Linked DNA regions of Struthio camelus. The protein of the gene in region 1 purifies or fractionates together with the protein of each later gene. This does not show direct contact. Links are inferred from orthologs where the notes say so. Each region holds a gene or a part of one and is shown in the gene's direction. Other genes may lie near its edges.

Region 1 (6,501 bases):
GTGGGGGGGGAAAGGAATCTTCTCTCAACTTTGCCTGATCTGAGGGACCATATCAGCAGGTGCTGTTATGTATATCAGATCATTTCTGTGTCCCCCCCCCGGCCTGACTTCTGAACTACCCAGGTAGCAATCGACATCAGATTACACAGGGACCATTCTATCTTCTTGCTCCTAAAATTTTAATGTTTCTTTTAGGCTCAATCCTAGTACAGGGAAGTTGGAGATGAGCTATTCCAAATTCAAAACTAAGAGCCTCTCAGCCCTGGGAACATACATTCTGAAGGTAATATGAGAAAGACAAGTGAAATCTAGACATGTTCTGAGGTAATGATCAAATGGAAGAGGAAGAGGATGGGAGGCAAGGCAGAACTTCTGAATACAGTGGTTAATTCCTAGCTCAACTCCAGAAGAAGACAGTCTCGTTAATCCTGTCACTGTCCCTCATGGACACTCAGTCATATTAATAATGGTCTTTTAAAGTAACCATACCCTAGTAGTTGTCCCAGGACCCTCATAAGCCTGTCCTGTTTTTTCAGTAAGAGCATGAGTCAAACCCCACTGGGAGGGCACAGCAAAAGGGATCCTAGGCAACACCAAATGGTGAGCAGCAAACATACCTGGTGAAATAGCATGCGATGATATTTCTTTCCCCAGGCCGTAAAGATCTTGCACATAGTAGATGTGAGGAGTGGAATGGATGAAGATGGCGAATACACCGAGTGCAATAATATGACACTTATTAACTTTGTTATAAAGCTGACTGGACCCACCCACGAGCAAATTCTCACTCTCCTGTTGCTACTCATCCAGGTCAGACACATGATCTTTCAGGTAGAAAGATGTACTCTGCAACAGAAACAGATCCAAGTCAGTCTTAAGAGCGTCACGGTGAATGGGGGGAGAAAAATGTCATACTTTCATACAAGCAGCAAATGAGCTGTGGAACCTGAGGAGAATTCAAAGTTTACCATAGCTGAAAGAGGAAATAGATTCCCCTCCCTGCCCTCGACTTTGCTCATTGAGAGCTAACAAAGTCCCAATGATTCCCCAAAGCACAAATCGCCAGATGCCGGAAAAAACAGTAGGAAAAGTATCACTGTGTGCTTGCCTTGTCAGTCTGACCTAATACAGCCTTTTTCATGTTTCTGGTTTTTAACCATACCAAATAACACAGTACCAGCGTTACCTCCAGCTAGTAGCCTTGCATAGGTTTGGTATGTATCTTAATGATATATATGGAGTCTGAGCAGGATGCGGTAGCTTTCCGAAGCAACTTAGAGTACAAAGGTAACATACTTCACAGATACTGCTGTCTGCTACCTCTATTCAGCATGTGAACTCCCTTGCCTGATATTATAGGCCCTCTATTTTTAGAGGGGCCTGTATCGCTTAGTTACCCATAATAAAATTCTTTTTTCATACATCTTATATGAGAGTGTCTCATCAGAAAAGAGAAGAGACACTTAGGCAAATTCAAATTGAGGAGGAAGACTTCCAACAAACAAGCCTGGAGACTGAACAGGGCTTAGGCAGACTACCTCAGGGATGGAAGAGGATAGGAAGTACATACATCTTGATCCCAGTCACGGCAGAGAAGTTTAGATAGTGACTGTTTGAAAGGCTGCTGAATTATAGCTTTGAGATGAGGCACTTCCCATTACAAACAATAGGGTTACACTGAAAGACAGGCTCATTAAGGAGGAAAGAGTTATTCTCAGCTGTTCATCACCTCTGCATCGTCTGACAATGTGAACGTGCACAGGCACATACCCAATTCCCCCATGGATAGTTATGATTCTGATGCAGAGAACTGAGAACTTTGGCCAAACTTCTACTTTTCATCTTGTGACACCTAAATATTTTAACTGAGATATTGTCATTTAGTGAAATAAACCATGTCTGACAGCACCAGAAATCCATCTGGAAAAGAAGAATCTGCCAGCCTGTAAAATATCTACCGCTGTAAGATTTCAAACGTCTTTCTTGTTTTTACCTAGGTCCTGGGCAGCACAATTGCATTTTCAATCCGATACCAGCTAGTGCGCTTGTTCTACGATGTCTGATTGGGTTGCCAGGAGCAGGGGAAAGATTTGCACCTTCCAGTCGCTCTTTTACTTTCTCCGACTGCTGACCAAACGTTTAGAATGATCTTATACTGGCCCTGTGAGAACCTCAGGACTCCTTTTAAGATGCAAGCAACGACTCTGCACCGGCCAGTCTTGAACCGTGATCTTGTTTTTGTGCACAAGAAGGTGTTTGTCTGATTCTGCTGACAGAAGAGATTCAATGCTACTTGAATATCATTGTTATTGGGAATACCTTCCATAGGGGAACATACATGACCCAGATCATCTACTCAGAGTACTTAGGGAAAGTGGAAGAGATGAAAGCTCTATATAGAAATAAGCATGTTACTATTCCCTGAAAGATAAAACAGCAACTTCAGTTTCTGTGGGACTCTGTATAGCAGAACAAGTAAACCAGAATCCCCTCTTGTCTATGCCAGTCCTATCTTTGGTCCATGAACATAGAATAACGTGCTATAAGTCATACCCAAAACTCAGAGCACTCTGAGAATAAAATAACTTATGGTACGGTTTCCCCTTCAGTGCTTTGTCACAGGAAGAATACTGACATACAGGGAAACCAGATGGCGTGATACGTTCCTGTGGGTTTTGCCCTGCTGGGGGCTGTTAATTTCTACAGTAGACTGCCTCCTTTTTCACAGCAACTGGGAATATTCCAGGCTCTTTTTTTAGAGGGCTTTAACTTCTGAACGGCTTTATCATCTGTCTTCCTTCCTGGAGTAGGACACTTCTAAGGCTAGCAGAGTAAGGGTCTCCATGTCCTTTCATCGCACAGGGACATCAATAAAGCCTTGTATTAATCTGGGACCGAGATCCTGCAGGCTGCAGTTATTTACACGTATAGCATTTTCTGGCATCATAGTTCACCACAGAATTGCTGCCTACCTGACAGAACAACACATGAGAACCACTGGAGCCTCAGCAGTAGGTTAAAGATTCTGCACGAGACTGATGGGAATGAAAAGCAGAACAATACAACTACAAAGATACGGACACCGAGATGGGTGACATTAAAAGTTGCCAAATCTGGTAGCCTAATAGATACAAGGTCGCTGCATCTCGATGGCCCCAGGTCCAGCCAGTAGCGAGGCTAAGAATGAGTTCCCAGTAGGTACAAATGCATATGACCAGCCACACAGATCAACAAAGCACTCAAACGTGAAAGATACGAGTAGCCTAAATCCTCCTGACCAGCTGGTCAGGATAGCAGTCTGCTAGTAGAATGTATTCATATATATACATATGTATCTACACACACTATGGATCCCTTCAGTAGCTGGCCTTAGATATTCTGGCCAGTAGCCGGCCCCTGGACTCCTTGGTCTCCCCAGTTGCTGGCAGCAGGGTACGTGAATCCTTCAGGCCAGCAGCCCCACTCCAGCTGCTTGTATTCTGACCTCACACACAGACACACACAAGTAGATCTTTCTGGTAGCTGGTCCAGACTGACGGCCTTCCCAGTAGCTGACTCTTAAGACACCCTCCTCGCCCCGCCTCGATTTTTCCAGCGGCTGGCTTGGACCCACCTCCAGTAGGTAACTGGCCGACCCTGGTCCCTGTAGTATCTGATCCTGGATACCTGGCTCTGAAGCATATTGCTTGCTGGCTAGTGCGACTTGATGTCCGCTAGCAATTACACAATCTGACATAGCCACTCACCTACAACCTGCACATACTCCAGTCCCCCCCAGTTGCTGGTACCACAGACTCATGGGCCTCTTTGGACGGTGGTCCAACTCCAGGTGCTGGCACTTAGACCTCCATGCATACACGTGCACACAGAATAGAGCGTCCCTTCACCGCAAAAAAAGCGAGAAATGCTTTACTAAGAGGACAGGACAGACCACGGTCTACCAAACCTACCAACCAGCAACATACGTACGCACAGCATTCCCCACTTCCTACCTTGTATTTTCTCGTGCTCCTATCTCCCAATCCCCTGTAACGCCTCCCTTCCCGGATCTTCCGCTAAACAACTCGTAATAAGTCTCACGCATTCCCACAATCCCCTGAAAGGATCACACAGTAAGCTTTGCACGTTCCCCCAATGGTCTTTCATGGTACCCCACTGTGAGCCCCATACCCCTGCAGGCAGGGACCCTCAGTCTGCGGGCATCTTGGGAGCGCCCAGCTCACCCCGGAGGTGCCCCTGCCAGAGGGGGCCCAGGCCCTGAGGCCAACCACCTCCCTGGAGGGTCCCAGGAGCAGCCTAGCTAGGGCAGCACCATGCTGATGGGGTCACTGGGGTCCCCCACCTGTTGTCGTTCCTCTAGCCCTTTGGGGTACTGTGACTAGCCCTTACATAACCTAGCAGGCAACACAGTTAAAGCTTGTTATCTGGCACTGATCTAGAACTGTTACCTGCAGGCAACGTGCCACAGTCAGAGCTGACCAAAATAAACCTGATGTTTCTCCTCTCAGGGGTACTGTCACTCGTGTGTAAATGCTTTTGCTGCCTCAGGGCTGTCCAGAGGCGCAAGCGGCTCTCTGCGATACAGTCGGCGCGGCCGAGGAGCTCTCGCGGCAGGAGCTGCCCCCCGCCGGGGGAAACGGCAGCCCCGCGGCAGACAGCGAGAGCCGCACCGCCGGGCCGGGGCCGCCGCCGCCGCCGCCGCCGCCGCGCCGCTCCGCTCCCTACCACAGCGCGCCGCACCCCTCCCCCAGCGGCGCGCCCCAACCGCCCCGCACGGTATGAATTTGGCGCCCTGCCTCCTTATTGGCCTGTCGCAGTCGCCAATGGACTCGAGGCGAGCGCGGTCAGATGGCAAAACCGACCAGTCAGCACAAAGGTTCTTCCAGGCGACGCACCAACGGCGAGGCGCGGCGACGCTGTCCAATGAGCTTGGCCCTCCTTTGCCAGAGGCTATAAAGAGGCTGGGTGAGGGGCCCGCCGCCCCGTTTCGCGACGCAGCTGCTGCGCGGAGGGTGCGAGGCGACAGCGTAGCGAGGCGCCATGTCTGGCCGTGGCAAGAGCGGCGGTAAGGCCCGGGCTAAGGCCAAGTCTCGCTCGTCGCGGGCCGGGCTGCAGTTCCCCGTGGGGCGCGTGCACCGGCTGCTGCGGCGCGGGCACTACGCGGAGCGGGTGGGGGCCGGCGCGCCCGTGTACCTGGCGGCCGTGCTGGAGTACCTGACGGCCGAGATCCTGGAGCTGGCGGGCAACGCGGCCCGCGACAACAAGAAGACGCGCATCATCCCCCGCCACCTGCAGCTGGCGGTGCGCAACGACGAGGAGCTCAACAAGCTGCTGGGCGGCGTCACCATCGCGCAGGGCGGCGTGCTGCCCAACATCCAGGCCGTGCTGCTGCCCAAGAAGACGGGCGGCGGCGGCGCGGGCCCCGCCAAGGCCGGCAAGAAGGGCGGCGGGCAGCAGTCGCAGGAGTACTAGGGCGGGCGGCCGAGCCCCACCGACACCACACAAAGGCCCTTTTCAGGGCCACCCACATTGCTCAGCGAGAGAGCTGCGATCCGCGGGGGGGGGGGGGGGGGGGGGGAAGGGGCGCCACCGCGGCCCGCCGCCGCGCCCGGAGGCGGCGCCATGGTCCGCGCCGCGCCGCCCTTCCGGCCGCCGGGGGGCTTCCTGCGCTCGCCCCACGTACTTCCTCCGCCTGCAGCCGCGGGGGGCGGGCCTGGGTGCCCCGGCCTCCACGCGGGGGGCTGGGGGGGGGGGGGGAGAGCCAGGCTGGCTGGGGGCCCCGGCAATAACGGAGTGAAACTCCTACACTGAAACTCCTACGCCACCCCGCTCCACTGCGATCAAAAGTACTGTAAATACAAGCGCTGCTCCCCAAAGTCCTTTGGGTCCTTTAAGTTAACTGTATTTATTGGCTGTTACGTTCAGTGGACGCTGCCTCGAGAATAAACAATGCTTCATTTCCAAAACGATACCCCAGTAAGATGCCATGTCCGTGTTCCTACAAGGCACTGTAACGCAGGAGCTCTGGAGAGAGAGTCTGCAAATGGAACTGGACATGTCAACTCTGAACTGTAGTACAAGGAAAGAGCCAACAGTTATAGAAAAAGGCATAAACAACCCCTGTTTTTCCCTCTTCAAGTTTAGCTCAAAGTTGATTAGCTATCGTATACCAATGACTGTCTCAGATTATAACTATCCAGGGATAAACGAGCCACCCACTTACTTCCCATCATAATTAATTACTGGCTGATGGCAAATTTAGGTCTGATACTTCAAACTTAATTCTTTACCTGAGACCTATGATGAACATAGTGTCCCTGGAACTTTACTATGAAGATCCCCTGTATTAGGAGCCTTATTCAGCTCCCTCGTGGCAGTCTTTCTGATGAGTGAACAGGCCCAAATAGTATTCAAAGGATTATGCAAGTTCTATAACTACTGAACGTACATTATTTTCTTTAGTGCTGTCACAGCTTAGTCTTTGATTATAATCTGTATTCA
Region 2 (7,376 bases), on another chromosome or scaffold:
GCAAAAGGATGAAGGGCAGCAGACACAAATTGCACCAAAGGAAATTCCAATTAGATACTAGGGGGGAAAAAAATCACAGTGAGGGTGGCCAAACACTGGAAAAGGGATGAGAGGTTGCGGAACCTCCATTCTTGGGAATACTTAACACTTGACTGAGCAACCTATCTATCTCTTCTTATGGATGCACCACATTAAATTAAACCTGCGTAGTGACATAAAAGTGGTGGTAAAAAATGGCGGTCACTGTCAGTGCCTTATCTTCACTAGTGCTCCTGCTGGTGAAATTGCACTGGTGCTAGCAATACTGAAAGGTTTTCAGCGAAGGAGATTATCGTAGAGAAGATTTCTCATTTTGCAGGCAATGCATTATTTCGCTGCTAATCAAAACAAGACAAAAAAGGCAGATGGTTACATTATGAAATGTTCACACACTAATCGTGGGTAGTTTAATAGACTAGGGGAGAGGGAAGAGGCTCTCTAAGCCTAACCGCTCTTCCTCCAATAGCATCACTTAGCGCAGAATGCATTTTGTGTCACATGGCAGGGAATCGCTGTGCATCTTTACTGCAGTCATCATATAACTGCTCCCTCATCGAAATACATTTCTTCCTTCTCTACACACAATATTATAAATTGTTTATAATTCGTGTAACATTAAAATTTTCTGTTGCGTAGATGTCTTCTGCAAGACTTTCCTCTGCCCCCCTTAAACTTAAGAAAGAATGGAGATAGATTAATTTATTAAAAGAGCAAACAAGCAGGTGTTTCTGAGGATGTTTATCTTTACACATAGTCTAAATTTAAGTTTATCTTGAGAGTTACTTGTCACTAAAAGCAATGTTTTAGCATTATTGGTAGTATTATTATTATGATGTTGATATTATTATTGTGGTATTACTGCTTTAATCATCATTAAAGCAATTTTTTTTTTGAAACAAAAAACCCCTCACCCCTCTAGCTCCACGTCTCTTTCTTTACAGGTTGTACAAACTGCTTCCATAGTAAAATGAAAAAACAAAAAACCATTGTCATGACAACAGCTAAACAGAACAAATAAGACAACAGGTAAGCTTGTCTGATTTTCATATTTTCATTCTGTATCACAAGCAGGAGCAAAAATCTTCCAACCTCATACTTGAAACTGTAGAGAGCACCTTAGTTTTGTATTTTCTCTCTCTTTCCATGTTATTATTCTTTGAGGCTAACAGGAAAGAGAGCAAGACTGACAGATTATCATCTGAACATTTAATAGGCTGAGTGAAAACTCTAATTTTCAAAAGACCAAAATATTTTCTTTTTGCAAAAATAGAAAAACCACTTTTGGTTAGACAGGAGTCTTCCTAGACTGAAGCTGGAAGACTTTCACCTGGTGATTGGCTCCATGGATAAATTTACCTCAGGCCCCGTTGCAAGTGTAGCTTGGCATTAGAATAACTAAAGCAAGAGCTGTTCACAACAACATTAACGAAACACTTACAGATATATCTTTATTTTGTTATTTAATGTTCCCTTTTTGAAATGTGGCAAATGATCTTTAACAGATAATTGGAATAGAATACTGCAATTCAGCCCAGATATTGCAAGCTTCAGACCATATGCAAAAAAGGGGCAAACGCTGATACTCCTATCCTTTCTTGTTCTGATCTCAATTTGGCTGGATTTTCTCTTTTGTATGTGTGTCTTCATAGCCTACCTCTTGTACTTTTATTTCCTGTAGATCTGATAGACAATTTTTAGAAGAAGCAACCAGCAATCACACTAGAAATGGCCTCTGTGATTGTCTTCCATTATGATTTCTTCCATTTTTTCTTCCATTAAAATACCTAATCATTTTTGAGCTTTTAAACTTGGCTTTCAATAATGCCTTGTAGCTGAAATTATATGACAAGACAAAACAACTTTTTATTTTGAGGCTGCTCCAGCTGCTTTCATCTGATGCCTGTTCTTATATTAGAAGAAGCAGTGAAAAATCTTTCCCTACTCTCTTTATCTATGCTGGTCGCGATGCCCCTCTTTTCCTGGCTAAAGACTCCTACTTTATATAATCATTCCATACATTTAGTAATCCTGTTTCCATAATTCCTTTAGAGTTGTAAACTAAAATGACCTAAAGCAGTCTAAAAGCAACTTTGGTTAAGCTTTTGCAACTTTGTGCATAGAGAAGCGCTTAGAATGTCTGAAGCAAATATTTGAGCCTCACGATGTATAAATACCTGAGTAATGCACAACTCGAGAATAACTTAATGAAAGCAGAACGCTTGATACTTTCTGTTCTGAAGCATCCTTTGATGTTTCCTTAGGTAGAGGACAACAGCAAGTGCTAGATCATTTTAAATGGTACCACAGCCTATCTTGTCTCCTCCCTCTAAAAGGAAAGAGCAGAACCAAGCTTTTTTATTCAAATTTCTTAGAAGGGGTTCTGATGTGATGCTAAGATTTAATTGAGCCAAAAAACTCCTTTTTTGGACATGGAATCAATATATCTCAACTAATGAAGAATCATTGAGAACTTCCTTTTAATACTGATGTTCTCTCATTATACCGTAATGGCTACCGGTTGCCAAAAGTTAAATTATGAGAGTACGTGGCTCTTGGATTCCATGAAAGGCATGGAATGTAAAGTGTAAACAGATATATTGTGCATTAAATAAATGATATAGTGTGGTGAATTAGAATTAAGTGCTTCGGAATATAAGGGAAACGTGGTAAACGTGCTTTAACGATGGGGCCTTACGGCCTCAAGGGAAGGTCAGTCAATAGCTGGAGGGCAGAAAGAGGCAGCAATTCCAATCTTCAGGATTTGAGAAACCACATTTGACACGTACAGCAAACGCTGTATTACCACACCTTGTGACCCAAGGGGTGGCAAAACGCTTCTTAAAACCTGGCGAGCAGAACCTCGGGGAAATCGTTTTGCCGGTGACCCAGGCAGCAAGGAGGCCGCGCTCCGCAGGTGCCGGAGCCAGACCGTGACGGCACAGGCGCGGGTCCGGGCTGCTGTGCATCGAGCGATTTACCGGGCTCGCGTAGCTCCCGGCTGGCCCCCGCGCTGCTGCCGGCAGCCCGCGGACCTGCTCTCGCCTCCGCCGGCGCCGAGGGCCGCAGAGCCGCCGCCCCGGGCCGCGGCCGCCCCCGCGGGACCCGAGCGGCGGCCCCCCGGGGCAGGCGCGAACAAAAGGCTGGTGGGGCGCGGCGCGGCCACAGCCGTCACGTCATGCGGCGCGGAGTCGCCGCGGCCCGGCGCGGCCGCGCACCTGCGGCGGGGGGCCGCCGGCTCCACCCAGCGCCGAGGCCCGCGGCGGCGTTTGTAGCTCGGGCGAGTCGCTGGCGCGGAGCCAGGCGCCGGTGGCGAGCGATGGGTGTTGCCCGCTCCCGAGGGAGGGCGCGGAGCGGCGGCACGGCTCGTGGCCGCAAGGGGATGGCGGCGATGGCCGCCGCCGCCGGGCAGGGCCCCGTCTCCGCGCCGCCCGCGGGGAAGGGAAGGGAAGGGAAAGGAAGGGGCGCGGGGGATCCGTGCGGCCCGGCCCGGCCCCACTCACCGAAGCTGGGGCGGACGCTGGCGATCTCAGCCATGGTAGAGCCAGGCCGGCGCGGTGGGGATGCGGGATCCGGTGCGGAGGCGCCGCGGCGGCGGCAGCAGCAGCAGCAGCCCCCCCCCCCCGCCCTGAGGATGCTCCGCGCCCGGGATGCAGGAGCTGCCGACTGGTCCCGAGGCAGCGCAGGCCCCGCCCGGCCTCAGGCGCCGCCCCGCGCCCCGCCCCGCCCCGCCGTGACTCGGCAAGTGTCGGCGGCCCCGGTCCCCGCCGCGCCGCGGGAGCGGGGCCGGGCAGCCGGCGGCGACCACCCCGCTCCCGGCCCGCCGCGGGGGGTAGTGGTCAGGGCGTGTGTGCGGTGGGGAGCGGCAGCGGCCCCCCTGCGCGGCAGTACGCTGCCGCCGAGTCGGGAGCGCCGGGTGGTTCCGCCCCCGCCCGGGGTGATAGCGGCGGCGGCGGCGGCGGTGGCGGGGGGGGGGGGAAGGAGGCTGGAGTCACCGGGGGGGAGGCCTGGCCGCTGCCCGCGGAGCCCGCCTAGGCGCCAAGATGGCGGCGCGGCCGCCTCCTCCCCCTCCCCCCTCCCCCGCTACTCCAACATGGCGGCCGCCCGTCCCGCGCCCCAGCCGACATGGCGGCGCGGCGCGTGCGCAGCGCGCCCGGCCTGAGGGCGCTTCCGCTTCCTGCGGAGGGAGCGGGACGCGGCGGCGGGGCCCGGCCGGCGGCGGTCGGCGGCGGCCCCCCCCCCCCCCTCCCCCGGCCTGCGAGCAGCCGCTCTCGCTGTCTTCCAGGCCGCCCGGGAGCGGGATGTCGCTCTCGTTGAAGACGTTGCCCTGCAAGAAGAGGAAAGCGGCGGTGGCGGGCCCGCAGAGCCCGCGGGAACCGGGCTGCGCCGGCGAGGCGCCGGCTCCCGCCGACGGCGGCTCCTCCGATGGCGACCCCGCCGCCAGAGGCTCGCCGGCCGGCGCGAAGGCGCGGCGGGAGCCGGCGGAGACCTTCCTCAAGGGCGGGAAGCGGCCGGCGGCGAGGGCAGCGCCGGGTGCCGGCCAGGAGGGCGCCGACGGTCGCCAGGCCGCAGCAGAGGCTCTGCCTCCGCCCGAGCCTGCTGACGACGGTAAAGCTCTCGAGCTGCCTCCCGCAACGCTTCTCGCGCCGCCCGTACGCGAGGCCTCGCGAAACGCCTTTCGGAAACGCCTAGACGGGCCGGTCGCCGGCCTCGGCCTGGCGCTGGGACTTCTGCTCGGCGCTGAGGGGGAGTTTCGCCAGCTGGTTCACGCCAGGCATCTCGAGCGTGTTTTTTTTTTTTGTCGCTCTGAAGCGTTGACGTTGGCAAACGCTCCGTTTTTAGAGGTTGTTTTCCTCCCTATAAATCGCAGAAAGCTTAAGGAGCACTTAGGATGCCTGTCTTTAGCCCGGCCAAGCGCTGAACGCTTTAGAAGTAGTTTCTTTCTGATTTCGCGTTTGTTATACTTGGCTTGAGCGAAACGCTCAGTTTTCCAGCCCTTACACAGAGCTTCCTGGTTTTGCCCTTGTTGGGGTTAATCTGTGGACTCTACGTAGCGATCAGTCGTAATAATAACGTTCATAAATGTATGTCGTAGCATTGTCTTGGGCAGGATATTTCACTCTTGATTAGTCTGCAGACAAGCCTTTGTAAATACCGGCTTTGATTTGAAATGGCTTTCGTTTAGTTTTTAAACTTAAACGTTTTGCTAGCGATACGTAAAGACTGGTGAAGGTGCAAGCTGCTTTTTCCGAAAATACTGTTTGCGGACTCTTGTGCGTATGTTTTCATTCGCAGAAGATCAGATTTCACAATGCTTGAAAGAATTATCTAGAGTGGCGCTCGTATGGGACCCTGCTGTGATCCTTTACAAGAGCCAGTTTAAGCGGGGCTTTTGTTAGCAGAAAGTTACCCGTTTGTTGCAGAACGTAGGTATTCTGGAAGTGCTGCGTTGATGTGAAAAGCCTGGGTAAACCTTCCTTAGGGGTTCAGCCAGTGAAGCTGTGATATGGGAGCTCACGGGAAGGAGACGGGAGGAGCGTTCGTGAGCAAAACGAAGCCGGTTTTGTAGGTCCAGTCGTGTTCAAGTCCGCTGAAAGAAGTGGTTGGTCCCTCTCTTTCCCCGAACTGCGTGTTCTTCTGCTCCTCTTTGGCTGGTGTGCGTGTTTGTCTCTGCGTACAGCGAGTTTGGAGACTTGATCTAGCCAGAAGCGTGTGTGCAGGGGGAGTTGTTGTTTCTTCCTCCCCGTCTGGATGGGCTCACTCGTCTGCTTGACTGCCCAGCTCAGGGATTTGATGAAAGCCCTTTTGTGTAAGGGGAGGGGGCTGGAGCAGTGGTCGTTTTTCTGTCAGGCCTACATAACCTCTAGGACTGTGCAGAATAGGAGTGGGGAGGGTGTGTAGCTACCCCTTTCAGCAGTAGGGTACTCTTAAATTAGCCTAAGGTGGCCATGAGACTGCATCCTAAGGCTGCAGTCAAGTATGCTGTTCTGGTTGCAAATAAAGTATCTGAGTAAAGGAATGCCTGCCCCTAGCCGTTCATTTCTGTAGCTGCAATTCTGTTTATACAACAGGGAACGTGACCACGCTTTAAACAAATCATTGCTTTTTTAATGATTAGATCACTTTACAGCTAGGATTTTGAGCCTACCTATGCGAAATTGATGAACCAGATAATGGAGGGAGCAAGACTGAAATAGCTGGAGCCCAGGGTCTCTTAACCTGTGTTTGTTTCCATCAGAATATTAGCATGGGACCGCTGCTGAAACGTTTCGCTTATCTGAATTGCTTTGCTAGGGAGCCCTACTTGCGCAGTTGATTTAACAGATTTGAATCGGCCACAATAAATTTTTGTACTGTAGCTTCATGTGGTAAGCTCTTAACCTTGCTCAGCTGTGTCTGTATGGCATGTCTAACTGAAAGCTGGTGTATACTGTTTACAGGGAAAACGCCTAAACAGCATACAGAGGAGGAAGTAGTTTTGCAGAGAGATCCACATCCGACTGACAGCCGTTCTGCAGGGCAGGAGTCTCCACTGAGACATTCTTTGCAACTGGCGGCTCAAAATCCTGCCACGATGAAGCCACTGAAGAACACCAGAGCTGGTGAGTGGCCCCAGCAGACTGATGAGGAAAATGAGGATGTTGGGCTGTTTATTCCATTGGGTAAGCTTTGTGCAAGGAACAGACCTGTGACTTTACTGTAGTAGATACGGAACTTGGAAGCATCTACACCATGACAAGGGGCTGTTTAAGTGCAACGGTTTCTGACGTTTTCATACTGTGTTCTGTAATACAGTGGCTAAATAAGCTTCAGGTATCCAGATGAAACTTGCTGGAGTTGATCTCTGTAATTTTCAGTCACTGAAAACACCGTTGTCCTTTAGAGGAAGTTCTGATTCCTTCTTTGCCCTGAGTCAGCAAAACACTGCCACTTGGGACCCCCTTTAAGTCCCAGAAACTGCAATCTGTTTTTGCTTCATGGTGTCTGAATTTTTGCAACTGTTTTAAGCTTGACTCGCTACTTAAAACATCTGGAAAAGGGTTGAAAGAGCATCTCCGCTCTAGCGGAGGTGTCAAATACGTAACGTTTGTGTGCTTGACTAATGTGACTCATTCAGATCCTGCAGAATTTGAATCCTCTGTGTCTAGTCTTTGTGGCCACTTCCATGTGGAAGGTTTCGTTATCAGCTGTTGGAAAGCTGCTGCCACTTTAGTATCTACAGAATTCCAGCTCTTTTTTAGTCTCATACTGTCTGAATGTGCTGGATGTGAAGTATCTGAATTTTTAGATTTAATTTTTATTGTTAATTTTCAGAAGAGCAAGATGGAGAGGATATTGAG

What was found.
Region 2: the proteins of H2AX (region 1) and GON-4-like protein purify together in Homo sapiens (affinity purification with mass spectrometry; 3 studies listed by BioGRID and IntAct, counting the BioPlex papers as one, with this or other methods). This does not show direct contact. The link is inferred for Struthio camelus from reciprocal best matches to the Homo sapiens genes H2AX and GON4L.

What each region holds. Positions count from the first base shown.
Region 1 is NC_090963.1:90,419-96,919, forward strand, and holds H2AX (histone H2AX), read left to right. Parts: upstream 1-4,925; 5' UTR 4,926-5,040; coding exon 5,041-5,472; 3' UTR 5,473-5,969; downstream 5,970-6,501. Other genes in the region: DPAGT1 (UDP-N-acetylglucosamine--dolichyl-phosphate N-acetylglucosaminephosphotransferase), read left to right, coding at 196-283, 655-810, 1,998-2,063. UniProt on the Homo sapiens protein: Variant histone H2A which replaces conventional H2A in a subset of nucleosomes. Nucleosomes wrap and compact DNA into chromatin, limiting DNA accessibility to the cellular machineries which require DNA as a template.
Region 2 is NC_090971.1:4,005,326-4,012,701, forward strand, and holds the start of GON-4-like protein, read left to right. Parts: upstream 1-4,299; 5' UTR 4,300-4,337; coding exon 4,338-4,644; intron 4,645-6,476; coding exon 6,477-6,698; intron 6,699-7,350; coding exon 7,351-7,376. Other genes in the region: SYT11 (synaptotagmin-11), read right to left, coding at 3,540-3,573. UniProt on the Homo sapiens protein: Has transcriptional repressor activity, probably as part of a complex with YY1, SIN3A and HDAC1. Required for B cell lymphopoiesis.